Coturnix japonica: one gene and its partners. The protein of the gene in region 7 interacts with the protein of the main gene of each other region in a pairwise test. Links are inferred from orthologs where the notes say so. Each region holds a gene or a part of one and is shown on either strand. Other genes may lie near its edges.

The links.
Region 1: the proteins of TRIM23 (region 7) and TNFAIP3 interact in binary tests that used the Homo sapiens proteins (3 or more experiments, as listed by UniProt). The two-hybrid records come from large-scale screens. The link is inferred for Coturnix japonica from reciprocal best matches to the Homo sapiens genes TRIM23 and TNFAIP3.
Region 2: the proteins of TRIM23 (region 7) and LGALS8 interact in binary tests that used the Homo sapiens proteins (3 or more experiments, as listed by UniProt). The link is inferred for Coturnix japonica from reciprocal best matches to the Homo sapiens genes TRIM23 and LGALS8.
Region 3: the proteins of TRIM23 (region 7) and cytochrome c oxidase subunit 5B, mitochondrial interact in binary tests that used the Homo sapiens proteins (3 or more experiments, as listed by UniProt). The two-hybrid records come from large-scale screens. The link is inferred for Coturnix japonica from reciprocal best matches to the Homo sapiens genes TRIM23 and COX5B.
Region 4: the proteins of TRIM23 (region 7) and NEK6 interact in binary tests that used the Homo sapiens proteins (3 or more experiments, as listed by UniProt). The link is inferred for Coturnix japonica from reciprocal best matches to the Homo sapiens genes TRIM23 and NEK6.
Region 5: the proteins of TRIM23 (region 7) and TRIM29 interact in binary tests that used the Homo sapiens proteins (3 or more experiments, as listed by UniProt). The link is inferred for Coturnix japonica from reciprocal best matches to the Homo sapiens genes TRIM23 and TRIM29.
Region 6: the proteins of TRIM23 (region 7) and ARHGEF3 interact in binary tests that used the Homo sapiens proteins (3 or more experiments, as listed by UniProt). The link is inferred for Coturnix japonica from reciprocal best matches to the Homo sapiens genes TRIM23 and ARHGEF3.

What each region holds. Positions count from the first base shown.
Region 1 is NC_029518.1:49,374,853-49,378,998, reverse strand, and holds the start of TNFAIP3 (tumor necrosis factor alpha-induced protein 3), read left to right. Parts: upstream 1-1,334; 5' UTR 1,335-1,709; intron 1,710-3,944; 5' UTR 3,945-3,960; coding exon 3,961-4,146. UniProt on the Homo sapiens protein: Ubiquitin-editing enzyme that contains both ubiquitin ligase and deubiquitinase activities.
Region 2 is NC_029518.1:33,916,984-33,921,204, reverse strand, and holds the start of LGALS8 (galectin-8), read left to right. Parts: upstream 1-1,342; 5' UTR 1,343-1,346; coding exon 1,347-1,550; intron 1,551-3,396; coding exon 3,397-3,485; intron 3,486-3,853; coding exon 3,854-4,064; intron 4,065-4,221.
Region 3 is NC_029537.1:873,283-876,475, reverse strand, and holds cytochrome c oxidase subunit 5B, mitochondrial, read right to left. Parts: upstream 1,911-3,193; 5' UTR 1,883-1,910; coding exon 1,789-1,882; intron 1,716-1,788; coding exon 1,642-1,715; intron 1,040-1,641; coding exon 940-1,039; intron 855-939; coding exon 742-854; 3' UTR 601-741; downstream 1-600. UniProt on the Homo sapiens protein: Component of the cytochrome c oxidase, the last enzyme in the mitochondrial electron transport chain which drives oxidative phosphorylation.
Region 4 is NC_029532.1:7,853,644-7,856,977, forward strand, and holds the end of NEK6 (serine/threonine-protein kinase Nek6), read left to right. Parts: intron 1-601; coding exon 602-712; 3' UTR 713-2,708; downstream 2,709-3,334. UniProt on the Homo sapiens protein: Protein kinase which plays an important role in mitotic cell cycle progression. Required for chromosome segregation at metaphase-anaphase transition, robust mitotic spindle formation and cytokinesis.
Region 5 is NC_029539.1:3,276,002-3,280,375, forward strand, and holds the start of TRIM29 (tripartite motif-containing protein 29), read left to right. Parts: upstream 1-1,505; 5' UTR 1,506-1,562; exon of another isoform or gene 1,563-1,642; 5' UTR 1,643-1,816; coding exon 1,817-2,677; intron 2,678-4,374.
Region 6 is NC_029527.1:6,265,175-6,269,620, reverse strand, and holds the start of ARHGEF3 (rho guanine nucleotide exchange factor 3), read left to right. Parts: upstream 1-1,599; 5' UTR 1,600-1,693; coding exon 1,694-1,728; intron 1,729-4,446. UniProt on the Homo sapiens protein: Acts as a guanine nucleotide exchange factor (GEF) for RhoA and RhoB GTPases.
Region 7 is NC_029547.1:14,354,209-14,358,597, forward strand, and holds the start of TRIM23 (E3 ubiquitin-protein ligase TRIM23), read left to right. Parts: upstream 1-1,470; 5' UTR 1,471-1,508; coding exon 1,509-1,607; intron 1,608-1,964; coding exon 1,965-2,127; intron 2,128-4,389. Other genes in the region: TRAPPC13 (trafficking protein particle complex subunit 13), read right to left, coding at 1,084-1,129.

The DNA of each region.
Region 1 (4,146 bases), on a different chromosome or scaffold from region 7:
AACTGCTTATTCCCACTCCATGGTGAAACTGACCATCACTTTAAATGCTCTCTGTAAAACTGAATGAGTGACCTCTCATCGAATCACTGGGGGAAAATGGCTTGGTTAAGTTATATATACATGTGCGTGCGTATGCATACATACATAAATACATATATATAGCTGGCTTCTAATCAGATCACTTCAGTATCCCAGTACCTCAGCACACATCAGGGTTACAAAGAAAAACAACCAGGAACAGGGAATAGCAGGTTCTTTTTTAAACGGACTTCTCTGTTGCAGACAATATCCACTGGGTAAACCACACCCCGGGTGCAGCCCCAGTTATGTAAGTAATCACTCAGACCCAGTTCCTCCGGCACGCAGCCTCCTTGGATATCAGTCAGCCCTCAGACTATCCGTAAGCGCAGAGCCTTCCTATGTATTCCTAGGCAGAGATAGAAGGGCAGCGGACCACACAGAGCCAAACACAGGGCTTTAAGCAGTGAGAAGGAGCATGCCATCACAGAGTTGCACAGATGCCATGAGGGCACGAGCTGAGCCAGCTGATGCTAATGGAGGCAAGGAAGCTCAGGTATGAGCTCTTTCCAGGTCCGCCTGTTCTGTGACAGGCCTGATTTTAAGGTGTGGGGCAACTCCAGCTTCTCATCCAACCAGTGGGACCTGTGGGTGCTCTGGAATTGGCAGGCGTTCAGCATCTGGAGAAAGCCTCTTAGGACTGAAAAAAGACTTTTTTGTATTATATTTCTGCCTGCCTTCAGGTTACAAGTCTTGCAGGCAAGGAGCTGCCCATTTGCAATTGAGATCACATCTGTATGCTTTATTAAGAGGCCCTAAGTGCTTTATTCAGACTTTTTCCATTGCACAGGCTTTAGGGTGCTATTTAAAGGTGCGAATTACATGCCCGCAGCCATTAAAGGTATGAGATGCCACAACTGGCCAGTGGCTCCAGGATGAAGTCCTCCATAGCCTCAGCCTGTTCTGCCCCTTGCCTGCCTTGAGCAGGGCTGGATGAGAACCTGTTACAGGTTACCTGTTACCTGTTACAGGCTGAGGGTTTGTTTAGCCTGGAGAAGAGAAGGTTGTGGGGTGACCTCATTGCAGCCTTTCAATACCTGAAGGGAACTTACTCCCAGGAGGGGAGTAAACTCTTTGAAAGGGCTGACAGTAGCAGACACAGGGAAATGGTTTTAAGTTAAAAGAGGGAAGATTTAGGTTGGATGTTAGGGGGAAGTTCTTTACTAGGAGAGTGGTTAGGCCCTGGAACAGGCTGCCCAGGGAGGTTGTAAGCGGAGGGAGCGCTTCGGTGCCCCCTGCCGGCCCTACGTGGAGCCAGCGATGCCTGCGCTGCTGTTGTCACATGTCGGAAAGTCCCAAGCGCTGACGGTGGAAATCCCCGCTGGGGTTTTTTTTTGTTGTTGTCTTTTTTTTTTTTTTTTTTTTTTCCTGTCCATGCGCTGAAACAGAAAGGGGAAAGAAAACAAGAGGCTGAGCTCAGCCCTTCATTCCGCAGCGCAGGCAGCGGCGGCAGCAGCTCCGGAGAGGGGAGGGGGCGGCGGACGCGAGAGCGGCCAGGTCAACCCGGGCCTGCTGCCGGCTGGGTGTTGATGGCGGTCGAGCCTGACTGTGTGCCCCCGCCGCGGCCCAGCTGCTGAGCGGCATTTAGCGGCGGATCGAGCCCGCGCCTGGAGGAGCCCGCCGGGCGAGAGGTGAGCAATGCTCGGGCTGGGAGAGAGGCTGCCCGACTGTATTGTGGAGGTTTTGTTAGCAGTCCCGCGGCGAGCGGTGGAATTGTGCCCTCTGTTGACTGGCGGTGGGCCGGGGTTGCAGGTAGAGCGGGGGGCGGCCGGCTGCGAGGCCTGGCTGGGGCTGCTGCCACCCGCACCTCCGAGGGACGGAGGCTGGAGGCTGCAGGAGGCTTTTAGGCTCGTTGCAGTGCTCGGCCGGCAGGGGTTTACCATTGGCTTCTTCGGTTAGGGGACAGAGCTGGAGAACGGAACACAGGGTTCCCCAAGACCAGCATCTTCCATATTATGTGCTGGGGAACTATGTGCTGCACTGTTTGCAACTTTTTTCTTTTCCTGGGAGCTCAGTAATTACATGTTTAAAGGCCATGTAGGGTGGCCATGCAATGAAGCACAGTGTGGTGTTAGCAAGTACAGCCTTAATGTGCTTTGAGTTGTCAGCTTCTGTGGCTGCTGAGCTGCTTCATTGCTTTGTTTCTCATAGTCAGGGTTGCTCTGATGTTGCCTTGATTGATGTTTGAGGTAACTGCCACAGACAGTAGTTTCCACTTTTGGAGGGGAAAATGTGCCCGTAGAATAGAACAGAACATTGAATTTACGGTTCCAGTGAATGCTTCTGTAGACTCAGTACTTTTTGTTACCTAAAGCTGGAAATAACCACTTCAAGGGTCCGTGCCAGTAGTGATTAATCATCTGATAAGCCTTTATTTGGGTAAAAAAACCTCATTGACTCAATGACTCTACTTACGTAACTTAGGAATTCAGTACTCTGGCCGTCTCCGAGCAAAGCAGAGACGTGGTTATTAAAGAGGTTAATATGTTTATATGTCATTCCTCAATCCCATATTTAAATATATGGATGGTTTATGTGAGTGGCGTGTGTGAAAGTATATTGGTTAGGGATAGATGAGAAGCAGCTGTTAGGAAGCTTTCTCTTGTTTCTGGTCGCCCTATACTTGGCATGGCATGTATCAAGGTCTTGATTTATACGTATGACTTAGTATTTGTCCCTAAATTTGTAATCCTCACTCCTGCTGTGACCAACTGGATTCTAAATGTTAGGTATGCAGACCTTCATTTCGCTTGATAGAAATCTGGTTGTGTGAGCAGAGCAGCAGTCTACATGGACAGCACGTAGTCTCTCCATCTAAAAATAATAGCTCATGGTGTTACTGCAGTGCACAGGAGGGATGTGTGAATGTGGTCCCTGCATCTGGCTGCAGCGAGACACAGAGTTAGTGTGCTCAGAATGAGTATTTCAGACTACAGATACTTCGAGGTTATGGGGTTGGTTGGCTTTTTGTTGTTGTTCTTCCTGCTGTAGCCCATCAGGCCAGAGGTATGGAAGAAAGGGATGCAGGGCAGTAAATGCTGCTTGTCCCACTATGGAAAAATATTGGGGCTTTTGAGCCAAGTGGAAATGCTTTTTCAGCGATGTTGACTTACCGCTGAGTAATAGTGGCACCGCAGCTTGTTCCCCCACACATTGCACGAGCACCTCTGCAGTGCTATTCTGCTCACAAAACAGAAGGAGCCGCAAGAAGAGTAGCACAGGTCTGGCCCTGAGTGCTTGATCTGCCACTAATACCTCTTTTACCATCTCCAGCCAATGTAAGTATGGGACAGAATCTAGCACACTGTGTGATATCCAGGCTCTTTTTATATCATACCAGCATCACTTATCAGAATGCATGAGCTGTGGAAATCTGAAATGGACATTATCTGTTTTTTTGGCATGTCATCAAAACAAGAGTTTGGAATGTGCTGAAAGTTCAGCAGGTTCATATGGTGGTTACAGTGTGCAATTATCAATTAGTCAAGTTTCCAAGATAGTTTTCCCTTCCCTTGATCTTGCCTTTTTCTTTCCTTGCTTTCATTTAAGTGCCTTTTTTTTGTACAATGATGTAATCGTCTTAGTGAAGAATGAACTCTCTTCAGGAGTTCAATGAATGATCACAATAAATGGGTGGAATAAGCTCTTCAGTAGTTATCTCTGTGTAATGCAGAGAGGCTGACAGAGGTAAATGTTAACAATAAGAACTGGTATAAGTCTCAGTGGATGTCATTCGCTCTGTGTACTAACAGGCAAAACAGCAACTAGAATTCCACACATGGAAGTGTATTCTCAGTCTGTGCAAACCTTGCAGAGCAAGGGCAATTAACAAGTCAGTAAGAGAACACTTTTCTTTTTCATTTCAGATTTTTGTCTAGGAACATGGCTGGCCAGCACATCCTTCCTCAGGCTTTGTATCAGAGCAATATGCTGAAAGCTGTGAAGATTAGAGAGAGGACACCTGAAGATCTGGTCAAACCCCCCAGTGGAATAATTCACCACTTCAGGACTATGCACAGATACACTATAGAAATGTTCAGAATGTGCCAGTTTTGCCCTCAATTCCGG
Region 2 (4,221 bases), on a different chromosome or scaffold from region 7:
TCATGTGGGATAAAGCTGAAGAAAAGTAGTTCAGCCCCTAGCACTTACTGCCAGGTTACACAGCTCTGGAAATGAAAATGGCTATTTATTTTGGAAAAACATTTCTGTACCATATCTCTTTTCATGGGCTGCAGGTAGGGGTCAGCTGCAAATGGAGAGTAATTAAGGCCCAGATGAGGGTTATTTGTGTTGCCCCATGCAGTAGTGATTTTTATACAGGGTTCTGTTTCAGTATACACAATGTCAGGAAGCAGCTGGTAAAAAGCTGTGTACCTTGTGTGCAGTATCGCTTGCTAGAATAGCACGATACTTCTTCAGTGGGTTTTGGCTTCTTCTCCCAGGCAATAAACAGGACCTGAGAAAATGGCCACAAGTTGTGCTAGAAGAGGTTTAGATTAAACATAAGGAAAAACTTTTTCTCTCAAAGAGTGGTCAGGCACTGGAATGGCTGCCCAGGGAGGTGGTGGAGTTGCTGTCCCTGGCAGTGTTCAAGAGGCATCTGGATGAGGAGCTACAAGATATGGTTTAGTAGCTTGTTGTAGCAATGGTGATGGGAGGATAGTTGGACTAGGTGATCTTGCAGGTCCTTTCCAACCTTGTGATTCAGTGATGCTTAAACCAAGCATTTAGCTTTGATGTTTCAAAACATGATCAAATTTCTTGGAAATATATTTAAAGTTATACTTTGAAGAGTTTAACTTCATGTAGTTCTACTTTTGTTTTTCTGATTAAAACTTTTGGCTTTTCAAAGGGTCCACGCTTTGGAGCAGCCAGATCAGTGAACATCTGAATACGCTCTAAGAGTTGTCACACAGGACTGGCTGACTTGAACTGGAGGAGGGAAGATGATGTCCTTGGATGGACTGCAGAAGAATATCAGTAACCCGGTAACTCTTATGTCAACAACTCCTCCCCCAGGAAATGGAACTTTGCTCTTTAATGTCAGAAATTAGCAGGGCATTCCTATGGCTCAGAGTGTTACTGAGAGCTCTTGATGTTGCTTGGGTGTGTGAGGAAAATCCTCATAGGTGGCTGTAGTATTTCTCTACTTGTACTCTGCAGCAGTGGCCTTGCACTGGCATGAGAAATGGGCTGGAGCTCTACTTCTCATTGTTCTTTAAAAACAGTTCTTTTGAGCCTTCAGGAGATGGTTATTTGTCATACTTCTAGCACAGAATATTAAAAAAAAAGCAACACCACTAGGTCTGTATAGAATCTCTGTGGAATAAACAGTGCTACGTAACTGTACAGGACTTCCTTTTCTCTTGTAGTTCTGCACTGATACAGTCCAGTGCCCTCAAGTGCATCTGACTGTTCAGTTCCACTGCTTGTTTGTTGCTTGTGAAATGGATAGACTAATAGATGATGGGGAAATGGCTTTAGGTTTCTTCACAAGAATCCATCTGGGGGAAGAAGGAAGGATGTGTGGAGATGGAAATAGAGCTGTAAGGACTGAATTGCAAAAGGGAGATGTGAAGAGGATCAGTAAATGTACAGGTGACATTGTCTGTGTAAGGAGAAGAGGAGGAGTTCAGCAAAACTGGTTGACTGTAAGTGGTCTGGTGAATATGGTGGGTGACAAAACCAAGCTGGAGAACATAAAGGAGTATTATTGGGGCTTAGGCATCAAGAGCCTGGGGGAGAATAAGAGCAATTATTTGGAGACAGAGGTGTGAAAAGTTGTTCCAGGCTCCAGACAAAGTCTGCAAATTGGTCTTTGAGGCCTTTCAAACTGAGTTAGTGTTGGCTAGTTGGCTTCATGGGGAACTTCTGGAGGTTTGTGAGAGAGTTGGGATGGAATCAAGTAGTGGCACAAGCATTATTCTTAATAGATGAGTTAAAATTAGCACAGCTCTTGAGACGTGAAGAAATGACAAGCACATTCTGTAATGATGGTCATTAGGTCTGTAGTATTACGCCCAGGAAATGCTCTATTATGGCCATGCAGATTCCATGACTGAGCTTCTGGACAAGAGATGGCTGACTTTTTTCTCTATTAAATGTATCCTTGCTACAGTGTTAAATAACAGTGTATACAGTGTATAACAGTGTACACAGTATACAGTGTATAACAGTGTATACAGTGTATAAATAACTTTGACCCACTGGAGTATTCAAATCCCAGTGTTCCTGGGCTGTGTCTGTGTGTTTCTTATTGGTTCATCTCTGGAGACCGAACCAGTAACTTATACCCTGCTGTGATTCTCAAAGCTACTGCCCCTCAGGAGCAAGCAGTGTGTTTAAACTGCATGATGTGCAGAAAATATGCAGAATGTATTCTTTCTTACGTATTATTATTTGGATGAAATTGAGTGTCTTTTGTACAGCTTGTAGACTATGGAACTAAGCTCCTACACTACTGCTAGTAAGTAAATTGATTCAATCAGTTTATTTGTTATTTCACTTATACTGCCTAATTTTATGTTCTCATCCTCCTCTACTGCAGTTGGCTAAGCCAGTAAAATCCACAAGTCTTTAAACAGTTTGGTCAGTTTCAAGCTTATACTTGTGAAGTAGGTCTGTATTATCTCTAATGTAAAAGGTGACTGCAAAGAAAGGTGCAATATGTGGGTAGCTGAGAAGGGAAGGAAAGGGAGAAGATGGAAATGAACAACGCTCTGGATTTAGGAGATTTTTTTTTTGTCATTCCCATTCTGTGTAATCAGTGATAGAACTAGAGGGAATGGTTTTAAGCTGCGCCAGGGGAGATTCAGGCTGGACATTAGGAAGTATTACTTCTCGGAAAGGGTAGTCAGGCATTGGAATGCACTGCCCAGGGAGGTGGTGGAGTCACCAACCATGGGAGTATTCAAGAAACGTTTGGATGTTGTGTTGAGGGATATGATTTAGCCAGGAAGTATTGGTAATGGCTGGACTGGATGATCTTCTAGGTCTTTTCCAACCCTGATAATTCTGTGATTCTGTGATACTCTCCACCAGAGTTGCTGCTTTTCCAATCACAGTTTTTCAAAAAAGAGCAAGCAAAGAGACAGCAGCTGTAGTCTAGTGTTAAAAAACTGGTGCAAGATGCCTCCTGCAACCAGCAGTAGTTAGTCCTTGACAATGACCTAATTTGAAGGGGAATTCTATATTAAAAGTGGAGCAGTAAAATATTGCCATTATTCTTTAGAGAGCTAGGCATGAAGACTGTAAATGTTTAGCTTTAATCTTATCTGAGAAGGCTGATCTTCAGTGATGAAAATCTTGGTTTTTCCTTCTCTTCGTGGCAGATATTTAATGCTTTACTAGTGTTTCATTTAAATGGAATACTAGTTGTCTTTCTTTTAATGTGCTAGAGCATCACTTAATTATCAAAAATATTGTTTAAAAAACTATATATTTATTTTGCCTCTGTCACAAATGGTTATTTCTGTCTTTTTTCCCTCCTTCTTCTAGGTCATTCCCTATGTCGGGACGATTCTTGGTGGCATTGTTCCTGGAGAGCTGATTGTGATACATGGGAATGTTCCTGATGATGCAGACAGGTAGTAACTACAGTATCACTTTGTGAATTAACATAAGGTGAACAAGCCTGTAATTAAGAAAATGTTTCCACGTGTCCTGTGATGGATGGCAGACAAAGACTTCATTTTTAGATGAAGCAATAGTGTCACAGAGGATACAACCTTAAGTGGTTTATGAAAGTTTTGTGATGAAAACTGGAGGATAAACTGGTTTTTTGCTTTCCATTGATCTTCTTCCATGGTTTTGCTTTGTCTGCTTTGGCATTATTTTTCTGTCATGTCATTCCACATGGCACATGCATATTTATCTGAAGAGGTTATCAGTTGAACTTGTATATGATTTCTTGACAGAATGAACTAAATGCGATTTGTTTTATTTTTATGTTTAGGTTCCAGGTGGATTTACAGTGTGGCAGCAGCATAAAGCCTCGAGCTGATGTGGCCTTTCATTTTAACCCTCGCTTCAAATGGTCTGGCTGCATTGTTTGCAACACCCTGGAGAGGGAAAAATGGGGCTGGGAAGAAATCACTTATGATATGCCTTTTGAAAAAGGAAAGCCATTTGAGATTGTCATCATGATTTTAAAGGATAAATTCCAGGTGAGTTTGGGTTAATTCTTGGTCCATTTGTTAGGCCAATAAAAGAGAGGGATTTAGCATACGCACAATATAATCAGAAGCCTTGGTTTCTTTGTTAACTAGGCATGGTTTAATTATAGAAAAGTTTAGGAGTTTTTTTAAAGAGATGCTAAGTAAA
Region 3 (3,193 bases), on a different chromosome or scaffold from region 7:
TTTTGACGTCATCAGTCCCTACGGCTCCATGCTGCGGGATGGGGCGGCTGAGGCCAGCCCCATAGACAGGGATACAGTGGGTCCCACCTGGGTGCCAGCTCTACACAGCACACAGCCGTGGGATGGGGGCTGCCCTGTGGGTACAGCAATGGGGGGCACCCGGGGGGGCTCAGAAAGGGGGGGATGGGTCCCAACACACAGCGCCCACCAAGGGAGGGGCCACAACGCAGCCCCTGTCTGTGCCCAGCCACAGCTATGGGGACAGTGAGAAGGATGGGGGGGATGGGGACCCCAATGGAACCCCATTGTGTGTCTGTGGGGCGGGATGGGGACCCCAATACAACCCCATTGTGTGTCTGTGGGGTGGGATGGGGACCCCAATACAACCCCATTGTGTGTCTGTGGGGCAGGATGGGCACCCAACACAACCCCATCATGTGCCTGATCATCCTGCCCACCCCCATGGGGCGTTCCTTAACAGCCCCAACCCACAGGGAGCCCCCATGGGGAGGGGTTACCCCCCATCACCCCACACTCAGCCTCCCCCGATCCCCCCCCACCCCATTGCCGCCCCCCAACACACACACACAGCACGCAGTGTTTCCACACTCAATTCTTTTTCTCTATAAGTTGGGGGGGGACACAGCAGAACGAGCTGCAGTGGCTCAGCTTCCAAACACCAGACGGCTGCTGGGGGGGGTCTCACAGCCCAGGACCCCACTGGGGGGGCTCCCTGTGGGCTCAGTGTGGCAGCTCGTGGGGGATGAGTTTGTAGTGGGAGCCGCAGGACGGGCAGCGCTGCGCCTCCCCCTTGTGCAGCCAGAACCAGATGACGCAGCTGTTGTCCTCTTCACCTGAGGAGAGAGAACAGGGGGTGGGAGGGAGATAAAGTGGGGGGGGGAGATAAGGGGCCATATGGGGCCACATGGGGCCACTCACAGACGCAGCCCACGATGCGTTTATTGGTGATGGACGGCACAAGGTTGGGATCCTCCTTGGTGCCCGCGTAGCGCTTCGGCCGGAACATGCTCCAGGGGTCCTGGGGAGGGAGGGGTCAGAGGGAGGCCCACCCCAACAACGGCAGCCACATCCCATCCCATCCCCATCCCAACTCATCCCATAATACCCTCCATCCATCCCATAATACCCCCCATCCATCCCATAATATCCTCCCATCCATCCCATCCACCCCATAACATCCAATCCCATCCATCCCATAATATCCCATCCCATCCCATCCTATCCATCCCATCCCATCCCCATCCATCCCATAATATCCCATCCCATCCCATCCCATCCCATCCCATAATATCCCATCCCATCCCATAATATCCCATCCCATCCCATCCATCCCATCCCATAGTATCCCATAGTATCCCATAGTATCCCATAGTATCCCATTGTATCCCATAGTATCCCATAGTATCCCATTGTATCCCATAGTATCCCATCCCATATATCCCATCCATCCCATATACCCCATCCATCCATCCCATAATATCCCATCTATCCCATAATATCCCATCCCATACATCCCATCCCCATCTCCATCCCATCCCATATACCCCATATACCCCATATACCCCATATACCCCATATACCCCATATACCCCATATACCCCATATACCCCATACACTCACCAGTCCTTTATTCATCGCCTCCATCACTTTCCGCTCCAGTCCCGTCGCCTGCTCCTCATCCGTGGCCAGGTCACCTGCGGGGCAGACGCTCAGTGCCTCCATCCATCCATCCCATCCCATCCCATCCCCATCCCGTCCCGTCCTTACCGGGCGCTGCATAGTGCCGGCTGATCACGCTCCTCCCGGTGGCGGCGGGCAGAAGCCGCAGCGCCGCGCCCACCCGCAGTAACCTTGACGCCATGGCGGCACTCAGCACTTCCGGAGATGGAGGAGGAAGCGGAAGTTGCGAGCCGGAAGCGGAAGTTTAAAACCGGAAGGGCGGGGCCTCAAAGGGCGGGTTGGGGGGGGATGCGGCCCTTAGCAACGGGGGGATGGAGATACGGCCATAGCAACGGGGCCTGCACCAGCGGCCACGCCGGGCCCATAAGGCGGCGGTGCCAAACCCCGCTGATCCGAGCCGCATTAATGCGGCCCTTCGTTAATATTGCAGTACAGATCGATGGCTGCGGGGGGAGGGGGGTTAATTAATATGGGGGGGTTAATTAACTGCAGGGGGGGGATTAATGGACATAGGGTGAAATGGAGATTGATTTGGGGTGTGATGAGTGGGGATAGGGGGGAAAATGGGGGAAATAGGGGGAAAATGGGGGAAATGGAGCAGAAAATGGTAGAAAAATGGAGGAAAAGGGGCAGAAATGGTAGAAAAATGGAGGAAATAAAAGGAAATGGGGGAAAAGGGGCAAAATTGGGGGAAAATAGGGGGAAATGGGGGGAAATGGGGGAAAAGGGGCAGAAAATGGGGAAATATTGGATATAAGTGGGAAATATGGGGGTAAATGGAAAATACTGGGATATAAATGGGAAATATTGAATGTAAATGGGAAACATTGGGGTATAACTGAGATATCTTGGGGTATAGGTGAGAAATATGGGATATATATGGGATATAATGGGGTATAATGGGATATACTGGGATATAATGGGATATATGGGATATAATGGGATATAATGGGATATAATGGGATATAATGGGGTATAATGGGATATACTGGGATATAATGGGATATACTGGGGTATAAGTGGGAAATACGGGATATAAATGGGAAATATTGAATGTAAATGGGAAATGCTGGGTTATAAGTGGGAAATATTGGGATATAAATAGGAAATATTGGGATATAAATAGGAAATATTGGGGTATGAGAGGGAAATATTGGATGTAAATGGGAAATATTGGGATATAAGTGGGAAATATGGGGATATAAGTGAGAAAATGCTGAAGAAGAAGAAGAAATATGGGGGAAGGAGAGAGAATATGGAGGAAAAAGAGAAAATGAAGAGGAAAGAATAGGAAGTATTGGAAAAGAAGGGAAAATATGGGGGAAGAAGAGAAACTATTGGAGGGGAAGAGAAAGTTTGGAGAGGAAAAGAGGCAATTTAGGGGAAAAAGAGGAAAATATTGGGGAAGAAAAGGGAAAATATGGGAGGAGGAGAGGAAAATATGGGAGAAATAAAGGGGATGTGGAGGAGAAGAGAGGGAAGATGGAGGCAG
Region 4 (3,334 bases), on a different chromosome or scaffold from region 7:
ACCGGTTGGGGCTGCATGTTGAGGTCGGGTCTGCCAGTTCCTGCTGGGGTGGCTTCAGGCCCCGCAGCGACCCTGCACTCGGGAAGCAGAGCTGCGGCCTCATTTGGGTGCATTCAGTAATGCAGATGAACTGTGTGCTTGATAGCTGTAGGGTCATGCTTTTAATTACCATTAAAATAATTGGCACTGTGGCTACTGGGAGGATGTGAGAAGATCAGAGGCTCAAGGCTGTTTCTCCCAATGCCTCGGGGGTACGAGCAGCTTTCAGTGTCTGTATAATTAAAAGCTACAATCTTTCATGTGCACAATAAAGAGGGTAGGGAGGTGGGGGGTACTTGAGCCCTTCTGCATTTTATTTATTAAACATAATCAATGGCCGGTTTCTCTCCTTCACAGAGGTTCTCGAGGAAGTGCTGGGGTCTGACAGCCATGTTCTGGCATCCTGTCTTAAGATGTGTACAGATTAACTGTGGTTCTTCCGTAGAGGTGGGGTGGAAAGAAGTGAGCAGCATCAGCCACAACAGCTCCCATCTGGGGAACCCCAGATCCTCGGCCAGTAAGAAATGATCCATTCTTGTTCCAATGTCTTTCTGTCTTTCAGCTCCGGGAGCTGGTCAGCATGTGCATATATCCTGATCCGGATCAAAGACCCGACATTGGTTACGTGCACCAAATAGCAAAACAAATGCATGTCTGGACCTCCAGCACCTGAACCATCTGCAGACACTCTCAAAAGCCAGCACAGCTTAGTCTTACTTGAATTTTTTTTCTCAGATGAAACCGACTGGTGCCCAGTCAGCGGGTGAGGGGAGGAGCGGCTTGTAGCGAGATGCTCCCCTATCTCTGCAGGTTATTTGACAAGGACTCTCACAAGGTGGTCATGCTTTAAAGTGAAGATTCTGTGAGGTATTGCAAGTGATTTTTTTTTTTTTTTTTTTTAAGCCAATAAGATGTTACAGGTGTAGATCATTTAAGGGTCTTTTCTTAAACTGTCGTGTGTAATCTAGGATAGATGATATTAACTGGGGTGTCAGTGTTGGGCACACCTCCTCTATCTTAACTGTAATGTGAAATATTGAAATAATTCCTTCAGTGAAATCACTTTATACTAATGTAAGAATTTCAGTAGATTTTGTGTTGTTTGTATAACTGCTACTTTGCCTCTTCCGCAAATGGTTTATAGCAAATTTCAGTTTTTACTTTGTGTATTTTAAAGCATCCATTTATGTGTTTTTATTAATTCCCTCCTTCAGACTTAGAACTGGGAGGGGTTTGGGGGGGGTGGGAGGGGGTAGAAATGCATTTGTTTCATGACTTTTCTTTTTTCTTTTTTAACTGAAAACTTAAAGTGAGAGTATTTTGCCGCTGCGTTGGGCTGTTAATTCAGCCCCTGAGCTGAATGCAGTGTACAGCTGGGGAGGAAAACCCACAAATCCTGTGCAAACCACCCCACAGAAGCGTGCTTCATGGGGCCTTTCTGAGCACCTGTTTGTCCCGAGTCGTGTGAGACTGCAGGTTGTTGGAAAAGCAGCATTTCTTTCCCCCAGCTGGGTTTTTGGGAAGATGCCTGTACACATTCAGTAGTATATTAGGTACCAGTAGGTAGAACTTTAAGCAAAGCAGTGTTTTAAACTATTTGAGACGTACAGAAACCAAGTCAGTCAAAGGCTGTGTATCGTATTCCACACAAGGATCAGCCCCATCTATTTAACTAACTGTGAAAGCTGATTTAGAATGTGAATTTTTATAAAAATCTCAAGCTGATTAGGAGGGGTCGTCATCTTGGAATTAAAACTTTAAACCAACTAAATTCATTCATTGAATCAATGGTTTGTTTCATTACTGCCAGTGACAAACATTGCCTGCTTCAGGAGCGGCCCCACCTCACAGTGCAGTGGTTGTGCTGGGGGGCAGCAGTGCAGAGCAGTGCAGAGCAGTGCAGGTGGCACAGAGTGGAAGCAGCGCTGCTTTGCTGCTGCTGAGCTGCAGTCTGTGTGCTGCAGTCCCAGGGCAGCCTCTGCCTCTTTTGGTTTTCTTCAAGAAATGAATAAAAACCTGAACTTTTTTTTTTTTTTTTCCTTCAATAAGGTTAGGGTTAGAAGGTTATATACTCATATATGCTTTTAGTGGATTTTTAACTTGATTTTTCTCTACTTAAAGGAAAATTGCAGTGCCGTCTTCAACTACTTTCCACCAAATTTTGTGTATTTCATAGGGTAGCAAGGAAAGCTACTAATTGCTATGAATGATGTCTGTTGGTATCATTAATGCAAGGTGCCATGTTATCGTGGCTTCTCAGCAGGAAGCTGAGCCTGCTGCTCTCCTGAGAGCCTGAGGAAATTCAAATCAGCACAAGAATGGAGGAGAGGCGGCACGTTGCTTCCCACATTCCCAAGCCAACTTGTTTAATTTAGAGCCATCTTCTTTAGCAATTCTTAGGTGTAAGACTCCAGACTGTCACCTTTACACTGCAGGTTTCCTTTAAGCCATGGCAGCAGTGGGCTGGGCTGGCTGTGCTGGTGGTGGTGTACCCAGCTCTGCCCTCTGGGGAGCACAGCTCAAACCACAGCAGTGCCTCGAGCGGCTCCGCTCACTGTCTTGCTACATAAAATCTATTAGTGCCTATAAGTAAATGTATTTCAAAAGGTAATTTTTTTTTTCAATTGTGCATTTTTAGATAAATAAAAAAAAATGATTTACAAAATAAACACCGTTGTTTAAAAAAGAAAAAAAGGTTCAGTATTAAAGGAAAAAAATTAAAACAGGTCAGAATATGTGTGAGGTTTGGCAACAGCTTTCATGGCATGTAGATACCTGATGCAAAGTCCTGCTCTCATAAAATGGGCGACATAAACCATCATCTCTTGTCCTGATGGAAAACCTCACCAGGGGAACAGCTCAGCTGAAGGTGCTTTCCCTGGAGGGCACTGCAGGCTGGTGAGAGTGAGGGCTGCCACCACAAAACCTTTCGAGGCTGAACGTTACCTTCAGCCTAACCCTTTATAGGCGGATTTTCAGCCAGGTTTTTCCTTCTTAGGATTACATGGTAAGTGTAAAACACAAAATGAGTTTATCTCAAATACGAGCTCAGGATTCCTGGACATGTCCCAGTGGAGGTTTGCAGAAAACCTCAGGTAAGTAACAAGACAGTTAAGGCTTTTTAGTTGTCTTTTCCTCTCTGATGTAATGTAGAAATAAGAGCATTTCATACGAGGTAGAGGCTGGATCTGCTTGATAGCCTGTCCCTATCTACAAAAAACAGGGAAGAATGGATGTAAACATCACAATACAGCTCTTAATACCCTGTGATAATTAAAGCTGAAGCAGTTCTGCA
Region 5 (4,374 bases), on a different chromosome or scaffold from region 7:
AGTAAAAAGGGCTGAATAAGGTTCTAAGTTCAGTTGAATAATTTTTTCATTCCTCTTCCCTTTCATTTTTGCATGGACAAAGCCCTTATTAACCTTATCTATAAGACAGGCGCTTCCTGGGTATCTCATATCAGATCCAAAACGCAGGCTGTTCCTGTTGGGGTTGCACCTCCACTTCCTCCACACCTAAAAGAGAGCTGCAAAACACAGACCTGGATTCTTCCTCTGCTGCTTAGCACCCTTCCAATAGTGGTTTTGCTACAGATTCCCAATGAGAAATGATTACAGCAAAGAAAATAATCTCATACTCAACCAGTGACACCATCCTACCCAGCAAAAATCAAATTAAGTACAAATCAAATACTGGGCAGGGTTAATTTCCAGCCTGCATGTTAATCTCAGAGCAATCTCACTGAAGTTCAGAGTATAATCTATGCTACATTGATGTGAAATGGGTGTAGGGTCCACCTCCTTCTTTTGAACTTGATGGAATTCAGCAGGGCTGATAAAGGGCCTTTTTCTTCTGAAATCTGTCATTCCAGTTGGCTGAATAAAAACCATTATGGGGTGTGGACTTCTCTCTTTCTTTTTTTTTTCCTTTCCCTTAATGAAAGGAGCGTTTCATGAGCTTTGAAATAATTTTGCTGTTTCTCCCTTCCGCTGTGCCCTCTCAATGGGGAAATGGAAAATGAAGGGGAAGCCAGGGAAGAGAAGAAGGAAAACTACCAAAGTTGCTTGATATGACACTTGAATATCTTTCTTTTGGATTGCAATATGGCTAATGGAGGGAGAAAGGCATATGTTTAAAACTCCCTTGCAGTTCTTTCTTCTTGCAAGAAGCATTTTGTCCATCTATCTGCAATATACTTAACCTTTCAGATATGTCTCTCAGTTCAGTGCATGTTTATGGGAGGAACACTTGTGTTGCACTGAGAACATGCAATGAAATGGGCATTGGGTGGGCTCTTCTATTTGTCACATAAGTTGTGTTTGCATGGCCTGCAGGAGAACACAGCTCCTGGCTGACTTATATTTCGGGTCAGCTGTGTTCTGGTTGGAAAACATTGGTTGTTTCCAGCTGTAGATGGATGGATCTGACACAAACCCAACATCATCATCAAAATAAAGATAATAGGGGTCTTTTAAGCCTAGTATTATCCCCGTGTTTCCCCTCCCTGTTCTATTGAATGCAGCAAGCCCTCGGGGGAACCCGGTTTAAGAATGCTTTATTCTAGGCATTCATTTGAATGATGACCATAATTATTTCTGTACATGTGTATGACCCAGTTAACAAACCCATCCTCGGCATCCCATGGTCTCTCTGACCCTGCCCATCTCAGCAAGGAGGTAACCTCAGCTCCTGGCAAACTTATTTTTGAAACAAGCGGTCGAACTGGTTACTGCATCTTAATGAAAATCATTTCTTTCTTTCTTTTTTTTTTCTTCCTGAGCATTTCTATGTATATAAACAGCCCTTCCTCCCAAACCTGGTTAGACAAGAATGTTGCTGGGTGTGGACCGCCTTGTATAATTAACTGCACAGCTGTGGCTTCTGATCCCTGGTAACGTCTGTTCCTTTCTTTCCTTCTTTCTCCCTGCCTCTACCTAGCATTATCCAGAGCTCATCTCCTCCTCCTTGCAGGAGCTCCAGGTGCGTCATTTGGGCAGCAGCTTCCCTGCATTCCCCCGTCATTCCTCATTGGGACGGCCAGCAGACAGGCACACGGCCACAGCTGCTTCCAGGGGTCGGGGGAACAGCACTGGGGGGACAGGACAGAGCCGAGGAGCTAAGAAGCCAACCTGCTTTGGTTTGACGATGGAAACAGGGAGTGCAGCAAGGACAAATGGCACTGCTGGGAAGCCAGAGGATGTGAAGAGTCCGTCCGCCCCCAAGAAGGATGAAGAAGTGAAGAAGACGACGAATCCTAGCGGAGGCGAGAAAGAGCCAATAAAGGGCACTGGAGGTACCTCCCTGGAGACCGGACAAATCAAGAGCTCTCTCTTCTCTGGGAGTGACTGGAAGAGGCCCATCATTCAGTTTGTGGAGTCGTCCGATGAGAAGAGATCGACCTACTTCAGCATGGACTCGACAGACTCTAAGAAGATGCCATTTGCCAGCGGACAGATAGGAGACATGAGGAGAACCCCACTCTCCTTTGCAGACAAGGGCGACCTCAGGAAGTCCCTCTTCAACTTGGATTCCAAAAAGAGCTTCTTGCCTAACGAAGGGGAAGGGAGGAAGCCCTTGTTCTCCAGTGGGCAGATAGGGGACATGAAGAAACCATCCATGCCTCTGGTGGAGACGGGAGACCTGAGAAGACCCACCTTCAACAAGGTGCCTGACAGAGCAGCTGGCTCACGGCCCAGGGTGAAGCTGGAGGATGTGCTGTGCGATTCCTGCATCGATAACAAGCAAAAGGCCGTCAAGTCATGTTTGGTGTGCCAGGCTTCCTTCTGCGAGCTGCATCTCAAGCCTCATCTGGAGGGAGCAGCTTTCCGGGACCATCAGCTCCTCGACCCCATCAGGGACTTCGAAGCAAGAAAATGCCCTGTGCATGGGAAGACCATGGAGCTGTTCTGTCAGACAGACCAGATGTGTATCTGCTACCTCTGCATGTTCCAGGAGCATAAGAACCACAGCACAGTGACGGTGGAGATCGAGAAAGCAGGCAAAGAGGTAACATAACACTTCTCTAATTGCTTTTTTTCCCCCCCTAATTATCTTTCCAATGGAACTCAATGTCACTACAGAGCTTTTTCTCTCTATCCTATGGCCTCTCCTAAAATCATGGCTGCAATATAATCCTGGGATGCAAGGGAGGTGGTTGGGAAGGCATACAGATCAGTACTGCTCAAGGTTGTGGTTACAACAGAAAACTGTGATCTCAGCTCCCCGGTGTGAGCTTCTGCTTTCTTGTTTGTATTTTCTGTTATGGAGATAATGATGTTGAGCCCCACCTGTAGGAAAAGTCTTTTGAAGCTTAGATGATGAAAAATACAACTTAGTGCAAACATAGAGCGATTAATTTTTTCCCTGAAGTGTTACTGCAGTCGTCTCAAAAGATGGACATCTAAAGAGATGGGACTGGCGTGTGAACCAGTGCTCTCTCTAATGAAAGTCTTCCACTTTTGTTTGCCTGAATTCTCACTCAAGTTTGCTTTCTGGGTGGATGCACCATTATCCCACTTGCTCCAGTGAATGTCAGGGTCCCACTACATTCAGTTCTCCTCAGGCTGGAGACCTTGTGGTCTATCCAGACAGGGAAGGAGAGATGACAGAAAGGAGACCCATAAAGCGGTCACATAAAACAATTTGCCTAAAGTTACAGCCAGCCCATGGCAGGAGCTGGAAGGGCACCCAGACCTGCTGGATCCCAGCCTTAATCACAGCCCAAGAGCTCTGATGTGGTGAACAGGCACGTACAAGTACCCACTGTTGGAAATTCTTGAGTTACACGTAATTCAGAAGAACAGTTTACAGTGCTAAGAATGTTTAACTCATAAAGCTGGAGGAACATCTCTTTTTTTAGAGCTTTTCTGTCTCTCCTTGCACAGTTTTTGGTGTTCTCATGCAATGCCATCTTCGCCTTGCAGCCTGACTGGAACCAGACAAAGCTTCTCCCTATATTTAGATGAACCTACACCACCTTGATTGTACGTAGGCAAGCAGAGCTGGGTGGAGGAACCTTCACCTAGGATTTAAATGGTGTTTGATTTCTCTCCCAGAGTGTTCGTGCTGTTCTGGTAAGGTCTGTGCTTGCCCTGTGCTGATTCTGCTGCTGCTAAGCCCACAGGATTTAGGGCTTTATCAATGAATCATACACATGTGCAAGTTTCTCCTGACAAGGAGCCTTGGTCGTGTTGTAACTTGAGGGAGTATTCACTCAGACAAAACCAATTAGCAGGAAAGCTGTTGCTTACAAATGTTTATTCCTAGCCCTGAACTATTCTCCATTGGTGGAGCCTTAGCAAGAACCACAGGGAGGGACGAGCGCTGCCAGGTCCCTTGTGTGCATCACCTCTTCTTTTCAAGTCTTGCAAATTGACTGAGCTGGAAGACGACCACAAATTGGTGGAGTGGCAAAGCCTTTCTTTATGGAAAGAGTGAGCAAAAAACCCCACAGTGGGGGAACCCCAACCCCATCGCTGCTGCTGTGGCATCACTTGGCACTCAGCAGGGTAGCTGTAATGCAATAAGGTGTATTATACTCATGTTCTTTCCATACTGCAGAATTAATGCAGTTTACAGCCCCTTCCATGAGGCTGATACAGGCCTGTAGGGAGGAAAGCTGCTGTATTGTGCTGGTGGGAAACTGAGGAACAGCTGTCGTGCCTTCTATGGAATGAGGTAACTGCTGCACCTTGCAGACAGAG
Region 6 (4,446 bases), on a different chromosome or scaffold from region 7:
TATTAGAAAAAAGCAGTCTTTGAGTCTGTATTCCACTGCAGCTCAATAGTGCCTGGTGAAAGTAATGAATGCTGCGATTTGCTGAATGATTATCACAATATGAGCATCTTTTTCAGTGGCATTTTCTAAGTCCTTTATAACTGCTCTGTCCGCACCCCTTTTTAGCAATGCTGTGTTTCTCAGGTGATTCAGCCGGTTTCAGTGTGGCTGATTATGAAACCAGATACTGACAGTGTGAGTGAGATGCATTAGAGTTGTTTGGTATTTCACAAGATTTTTTTTAAAGTCACAAGAGCACAACTAACTAGACGTGCAAATGGCATAAACGAGTGATATTATCCTCATTTTGCATGAGAAATTGATAGGAACTAGGTAGGAAATAGATCTGCAGAGGTGAGGCTGATGTCAGATGAGGGTAGAACACAGGGATCTGTGTCTTAGTCCTGAGCCATAATGGCGCTTCTTCCAGCAGCCTGTAGGCATTCAGCATGTGGTTAGAGATTGCAGCTTCTGCTATTTTGCAACAACCCACCTGGTAGTACAGTCACCTGGGCACTGTTCCGTGCCCCAGCCAAGTTCTGTGACAGGCGAGCACAGCAGAGATGCAGGAAGAACTGCAGGAGGAGGAGAGAGGTTTGGGGTGGATGTGAGCCATGAATGTTATTTCCTCTGCAGTAGGGGAACTGAAGGGTGCTAGGGCAGCATTGTGACCATACACAGATTTGGCAGGGGCCTATTTCAAGCCCCACTTCCAGAGGAACTTTTGCTTGATGTGAGCCTGGTTTGTAAGCATTGCTCCTTGATCATTTTGGTGAAACGAGTTACATCATACCCATTTCAGAATAATTAGGAGTGAGAATAGCATTAAGCCTGCTTGCCTTTAAATGTCTGATACAGGGAATGTTCCCATAAAAGTTGTTAGTCATCAGCAGAAAGGAAACCGCCTGCTCTCGGTTGTAGCTTTTGCAAATATGCCAAGGTGTGAGTTCGGTGTTAGGAAGGAAACCACCATCTCTGTGCAGGATAACAGTTGGACAACACGCAGCCACGGAGGGTGGAGTGAGAAGAATAGTTACGGGGATCAGGAAAGCAGGGCAGGATTCTCACTGCTGAACTTGACCCTCTGCTTAGGCTGCCTTCATGGCTGGGAAATGTGTCTTTGAACATCTCTGTCCTCACCATAATTTGGCTTCTTTAATAACAGGCGGGCAGTACTGCTGGAAGATTTAGGTTGGATGTTAGGGGGAAGTTCTTCACTAGGAGAGTGGTTAGGCCCTGGAACAGGCTGCCCAGGGAGGTTGTGGATGCCCCGTCCTTGGAGGTGTTCAAGGCCAGGTTGGACGGGGCCATGGGCAACCTGATGTAGTAAAGGTGTATGTTTGGTGGCCCTGCCAGGCAGGGGGGTTGGAACTACATGATCCTTGAGGTCCCTTCCAACCCGGGTCACTCTGTGATTCTGTGATTCTGTTACCACCTGTGAGTTGCTGTTCCGCTGCCTTTAGCGGCTCTATCGCCGTCAGTGCTGGGTGGAGGCGGGGAGCAGCGCTGCGGGGCGGCTCTGTGCTGTGGAGCGGGGCGGGCTCTGGGGGCGGCACAAGCGTCTCCTCCCAGCTCCGCCCTGACAGCCCCGCGTCCTGCCCGCTCCTTTACTCGGCACCGAGTCCCGGCCGGGCTGTCAGCTCTGCGAGCCGCGATGCCGGGAGCCGAGGAAGAGCCGGAATGTGAGCGGTAAGGTGACTCTATCAGAGCGGGGGAGGCACCTGGGGGCTGCATTCAGCGGCTGCGTTGTGCTTCGTGGCGGAGGGGGGGAGGCACGGGGGGTCTCACTCCCACCGAGGCCGCTGTGTGGGCGGCGTTGCGGGGCCGTGTGTGTGCAGGCGTTAACTTTCCGAGATGTTTTTAGTCAATGTTTATTATCCAGTTATACCGAACAAAACGCCTTACTGCTCCGAACTGAACTGTCTTTGCAGTTTCCTATCAGAGCCGAGTGTACTGCTGTGTAGGGTGCTCGTGACCCCCACACCTCGCCTTACAGTGCTTTGCCTTGCCCTGCCCTGTTGGTTTTATCAGTCTCTTGGTTTTATTTATTTAGTTATTTATTATATCTTGGAGAGATAAGCATTGGGAGCTCACTAAGGTATGACAGAGCTTTGTGCTTTGAGGAACTGCTCTGGTCCTTAACGACCATAACGAAATTCAGAGCAGTGTTGGAAGAAAAGGTTGAAAGAGGCAGAAGTACTTGGATTTGCTGCACAAAGAGAAGTGTTGACATTTTGATGTTTATGTCAGTGCTTATTGGCTGGCAAAAGGTGTTCTCCATCTGTCCAGGTCCTACAAGGCTCTTTGGTTCTCCAGCCAGTTGTAGCTCTCGAGATGTTGAGGGCCTGCTGTGGATTTCAGCTGCCTGAGTCATGTGGCTTCAGGAATGAAGAAATGGCCACGGCCTGTAGGTCTGTCAGAGCATGGAGAGCTGCTGTGATGTGTGTGGCTGGAAAACAGAGGACTCACTAAGGATACTGCAGTAATCTATGGTCTGCTGTCAACACTACGGTAGTGTGCTTAAAAAAAGGTAAAATAGCTGGAATTCTGAACTAAATAGCTGCGCATCACATAGCTGTGATGGCCTGAATGTAACAGAGAGGATGTAAAAACAAACAGCAAGTGTTTTCTCGTCTAGAGCTGAAGATGGGGTGATGTGCTGTGGAACTATAAGCCCTAACAGCTGTGAACAACACAAAGTGATAAACTGGAAATGTAAACAACCAGTTGACTTGCAGGTGCTGAATCCTGTGCTGAGCCCAGCTGGGAGGACTGCAGCAGTTGGTGGCTGCTGGGTTGGGCTGTTAACATCTAAGCACTGCTACAAGCAGATTTATTTAGTTCTTCCTGATCACATGCATGACCGGTAGCCTCAGGCTTCCAAACCTGAGAGTACACTGCAGTAGGGCTGAGTTACCTGGAAGTGGTTTGTGTCTCAGACAGGCTGCTGCTGAAGGAGGCCCTTTTTCCATTAAAAGACTGGCTTTTGTTTTTCATGTCCAGCTGTTACAAATACAAACAGAAACTTTACATACGTAGAAAGGTGCCCTGTGCTGTTATTGATTCTCCTTTCTGCATAGGTTTCACTGTCCTTGCAGCCGTGCCGTACCTTTGTAGCTCTGTGGGTGTAATCAGTGTGGTACAACTTGCCTTCACAAAGGTTTGCTGGTTTTTGTAGCACTGAAGCTTGCAGAAACTTGGAAAGCTGGCAGTCTTTATCAGGACTTGTGTGATTTCAGCAGAGCCGAGAGCAGCTGCTGTGCTGGTATCATCTCTCAGGCATTCTACTTGTACTTCTATTTACTTTTAGTGCTTCAGCATTTGCCTACAATAAATTTTCAGGAAAAACAACATAACTAGGAGAAGAGCACACCCGTTGTGCTTATCTCCAGCATATTAGGAATTCTACTGCTTTTATTTCGTGTGCCCACTTAGTGTTGTCCCAGAAGGTTCTGTCTCGACTGTCACCTTTGTTCTGAAGATGACAAAGACCAGTTGTTCAGGCAGTGCATGCATTAAGGGTGACTGACAGCTTCTGCTTGTACATGGCTTTAACTGAAGGATCCTGACCTGCAGTTGGAGAGGTGAGAGGCATGTATGGATGCACACAGCCCAGCATTTAGAGCCATCAGCCTCTGCTGTGTGCATCGTCAACCCTGAACCTGGGATTGCCCTGTGGATTGCAAGGTTCTTGTCTGAGTCAAAGCTTTGAAATAATGTGCCTACATTAATAGCTGCTATCAAAATTAGCTTCTTGTTGATGCTCCACAGATACATAATTAATATCCTGGAACAAGTTCCCTCAAGCAAGTTGACTACTGTGTGGAAAGATAATCTTGCAAGCTTTCTCATGTAGGTTTGAATGTGAAGCATGCTTAGCAACATGGCTGAAAAACACTGAAGGCTGAAAAGGTAATTTTAGAGCAATGCAGCTTTTGCCTGGTGTTAATAAATGTGTTAAATAGTAAAAAGAAAAAGCAAATCAACTTGAGAAACTTCAGTGACGTGGAACTGTGCAGCAATCTTGAATGAGACAATCATGATTCTGAAGATAATAGGCTGACAGGGTGATAGTTTTGATGCTGGGGAGAAGATCTGACGCCCTTCCAGGCAGACGAAATTTGAACATGTTACAGTTCCCTGGAAATGATCGCTCTGATTAAAGGGAAAAGTTGTGCTTATATCAACCACTCAGCTTTTATTCTCAGTTAAAACGAGAACAGACCGTTTTATTGTGAGAGGCGGTAATATTTTGGAAGGAAGAGAAGAACATGAAAACATGTGGCAGCAGTTGTGCTGCTTTGACTCTGGGCCACTGCGCACTGAATGCGTTCTTTCTTTTTCCCTCGATCTGCTGTTACTATGGGAAAAAATACTTTCCTTCAATACAAGCTTCAAAAAATTCCT
Region 7 (4,389 bases):
TCATTTTGGTTCTCTATCAAACATCAGCAATATACAATAATGTTAGAGCCAATACAATTTCAAATTCCTTAATCATGTCATTGTCAATATTTTGTATAAAATAGGGAAAATGTAAAGATATTCAGATATCCTTCTGATTTCTATTTGCAAAATATACAGCCTGGGCAGTGTATCAAATTCAATACAAGCCCAAGGATCCTACTGATTTCTTGCAAGCAAACTGTCATGCCATACAACTTGTTCCTTTGTATAAGTTACTAACAAAATGTGCTGGTAGTAGCAGCTGACAGTATTTCCTGCACTCATGTTTTGGCTTAGACACTGTCTGTGCACATGCATGAAAAAGTGGTTGCTGATATGTGAATTACGGTTAATAGATCTGACTATAAGATGCTGAAAACCCTCCCAAAAAACACTGTGAAGAAAATAAACAAACAGAATATGGAGTCTAACATCATCTATGCACCTCCACTGCTTTATGTAGCTGAGCCATCTCACTTAAAATACACACGCAGATGAGGCTTCAGCTGTTCCCTACTCCACCTTAATAGCGATGCTTATTTCCAACAAGCACTGTTCAAGAGGAAGGTAGATTTACTTCCACTGACTGCAATCAGGGGCAGCTACATTCAGGGTTTTCAGTGCTTCAGTTCCTAACTCGATGGCACCAAAGTGCCTGTTGGCACAACCAGCTTCTTTATAGAAATCTGACCATTATTTTTGTTGCTATCAGCTCTAGCTCTGTGACCTCATGAGATCTACCAATTTTTTTCTCTCAATCAAGAATCTGAATCAAGAATACAAGCCGGCGGCTGCTCACTGAGGGTAAAAGCCATAAAAGGAAGAAAAATCAGGAAACTATAATGTTAAAACATGAAAAAAGAAAAATAAAATAAAAAAAAAAAAAGAAAAAAGTAAAAAAAAAAAGAAGTTAGAAGTGCTGAAGCCTGTGAAGATCCCGGTTCGCCAGGCCCGTGGCGCAGCCCTCCTCCTCCCACCCGTCGCTCCCGAGCCGTCCTGTGCCTCCTGTGCCTCAGGGGCAGCAGCTCGGCCCCGGGCCGCTCCCAGGCTCAGGGTCGGTACCTTTCAGTGCCAGCAGATGCTCCTGCTTGGGCTGGTTCACGTCCATGGTGCAGCCTGAGGCCCGAGCGCCGCAACCAGCCGAGAAGCGCGTAACCGCAGCGCGGGCAGAGCGAGCACCGCTGAACCCGGAAACAGCTGCTCCACACACGCCCCGTCATACACCGCCACGGCGCCACAAACTACAACCCCCACAGGGCCTTGCGCCCGCTCAGCCCACATCCCCCGTCCCGAGGAAGGCGGGTCCCGCGGGCAGCCCCGTGGCGGTGCATTCTGGGAGCTGTAGTTCTGGAGGGTGCCCAGGCGGCGGCCTCGCGGAGCACGACGGGAACTGCAGTTCCGCTCTCGGAGGAGGCGCAGGAGAGCGCATGCGCACACTGAGGAAGGGGTGCTGTCTGCGCGGCCCGCTGTGCTCCGCCCCGTCCAAGATGGCGGCCCTGGCTGTAAACAAGGCTGCGGCTGCGGCCGGGCCGGACGGCGGCCGCGGAGCTGGGAACAGCTGGGGCCCGACCGGCGCCGCCGTGAAGGTGAGGCGGGGCCGCTCGCTGCTCTCGAGCCGGTGCTCTGCTGTGCTGTGCTGTGGCGGAGGTGCCTGCTGGGCCCGGGAGGAGGCGTACCGAGCGCTCTGCAGGGTTTCCTCAGGCGGTGTGTGCCGCTGCGGTAGGGCCTCGCTGCTCCTCCATCGCACCGCGGGGCTCCGGTGAACGGCTGCGGGGCGGGAGGCGCTCGGGGAGGCCCCGGGTGGGGGCTGTGTCCCTGCTCCTCGCGGGAGGGCTGCTCCGTGCTGCTCCGTGCTGCTTCCGTTGTGTTTTTGTCTTGTTTCGTTGTCTTGTTTCCCCCCCCCCCCAGCCTGGAGACAGATGGTATCTTTTCTAAAATCGTAGGTTCTCGAGTGCGGAGTCTGTGAAGATGTGTTCTCTTTGCAAGGCGATAAGGTTCCTCGGCTGCTTCTGTGTGGCCATACTGTGTGCCATGACTGCCTGACCCGGCTTCCCCTTCACGGCAGGGCTGTCCGCTGTCCTTTTGATCGGCAAGTTACTGAATTGGGTAAGAGAGCTTAGGCCTGAATTTGTTAAGACCGAACAGAATGTTTAAAAGACCAGCAAGCCTTAACAGGAAATGTATAAAGGCTGATTTGAGTTTGTAGGCTGGCAGTGTGTGGTATCAGAATTTTTACTGTTGATAGTTTTGATTTGGCTGCAAATGGATGAGAAGGGTTTAGTACAGTAAAATGCATGGCTAGATAATGTGTGTGGATAGTACACAAAACCAAATAAGATGAATGTACTAGTTGTATTTGTTTTGCAGCATTCCTCCTGTACTCTGAAATGCTTTTTTTTTTTTTTTTTTTTTTTCCACTGAGAGGAGTGAGAGAGATCTCATTAAGATTAGGTAATAAGTTTTTATCTTCTCCTTGAATATAGGCTTGCAAACACCTTGTTTGTGAGCCTGTGTTTACAAAGTGACTGGTCTGTTTTAAATCCCTGTTTAATGATTCTTGAGAGGATATCAGTTTCCTGTTGTCCTAAACATTAAGTAGACCATACAGTTACGTAAGTTGTTTCTCTGTCAAACAAATTTGCCTGGATTCACAGTGGAATGATAACAAACCTGTTTGTAAAGTATATGGTAATTCTAAGGGTGATAGAACTTAAATTGGCAGGCTGTCTACAGGGATTTTATTACTTTAGAAATGTGTCTCAAAAGATCAGATATGGTGTTTATTCCATAGTGAGAGTTTATTTCAGGCATATGCTAGTGATTGTGCATTCAACATAGAGTTAAAGAAAGGACAAGTTACTAGAAGAATTTGTGTCAAGGTTAACTTGTGAACAGAGCTGTCTGCAGTAGCTTTGAATAGCACAGTGGATAAAAATATTAGGATGGCGGAGAATCCATGGAGCAGGAGATATCAAATGTAGTAATGCATGAAATAAATGTACAATTATCAAATCAGCATGAATACGTATTTACTTTGAAGTGATAGTCTGCTAGAGTTAAAGAAATATTAAATGGAAACAAACTCAGAAGAAACATCAGCATGATGTGAAAAAGTTTTGTTTGTGGTAGGAGAGGTGTGGATGGTATGTGATTGAAAGAGGATTGAAAGAAGTTTATTTTTTTATGTGACTGTACATCTATATGGGGTTTATGTATGTATGCTTTAATAGGGAGCGTGTGTTAGTCTTGCTGTTGTGAAACTTCAGCGTGAGCCAGCTGCTTGTATCTTGTAAATGGGGAGCAGAGCTTTTTATTGTAAGGGGGCGTTGTCACTTTGTGGCTCTTACTGTGTGATTTCCGCCTGACAATTGGAAGCATCCTACAGTAATTTTTTATTTTAGTTTCAGTTTTAACCAAAAATTAAGTTTCTTCGTCTTACGTAACAACTAGTGGTTTCTGATGGAACAATGTGAAGTGTTAAATTTGCAAGGCTTCTATAGAAAGGTAGTGGGAAGAAAAGCTGAAGCTTTCATTTCTAGGATAGTAGGCTTGCAGCTTATTGGATGGTTCTGGAAAGAAGAATGATATGTTGTGATCAGCTGTTGCTCAAAAAAAAAAAAAAAAAATTAGCAAAACAACCTGAGAGTCAAAGCACTTCTGTGAATGAAAATGTTTTGCCTGATGGTTTGAAGCAGAAGAGGGTCATGGCAACATTTCATCTAATCTGTTCTGTAAGTCCTCGGGGAATAGTAGAATCATAGAATCACCAAGGTTGGAAAAGACCTAAAAGGTCATCCAGTCCAATTGTTCACCCATTACCAATAGCTCCCACTAAACCATGTCCCTCAACACAACATCCAGTCTCCCAGGGTCTCCCCCAGGGTCCCAGGGTCGGTGACTCCACAACCTCCCTGGGCAGCCCATTCCAGTGTCTGACCACCCTTTCTGAGAAGCAATACTTAAGTCCAGCTTGAATCTCCCCTGCTGCAGCTTGAAATCATTCCCTCTAATCCTATCGCTAATGACATGAGAGGCCGACCCCCAGCTCACTACAACCTCCCTTCAGGAAGTTATAGAGAGCAATAAGGTCTCCCCTGAGCCTCCTCCAGGCTGAACATTCCCAGCTCCTTCAGCCTCTCCTCATACGGCCCCATTGTGCTCCGGACCCCTCACCAGCTTGGTTGCCCAGCTCTGAACATGTTCCAGGGCCTCAATGTCTTTCTTGCAGTGAGGTGCCCAAAACTGGACGAATGACATTGAGGATTTCAGGACATGCAAAGTCTGCAAGTAAAAATTGACAGTTTTACAAAGCCTTTTTTCTTCCAAATACTCAGGTTTGAGTTTGAGAGTAGACAAATAATTTCTAGC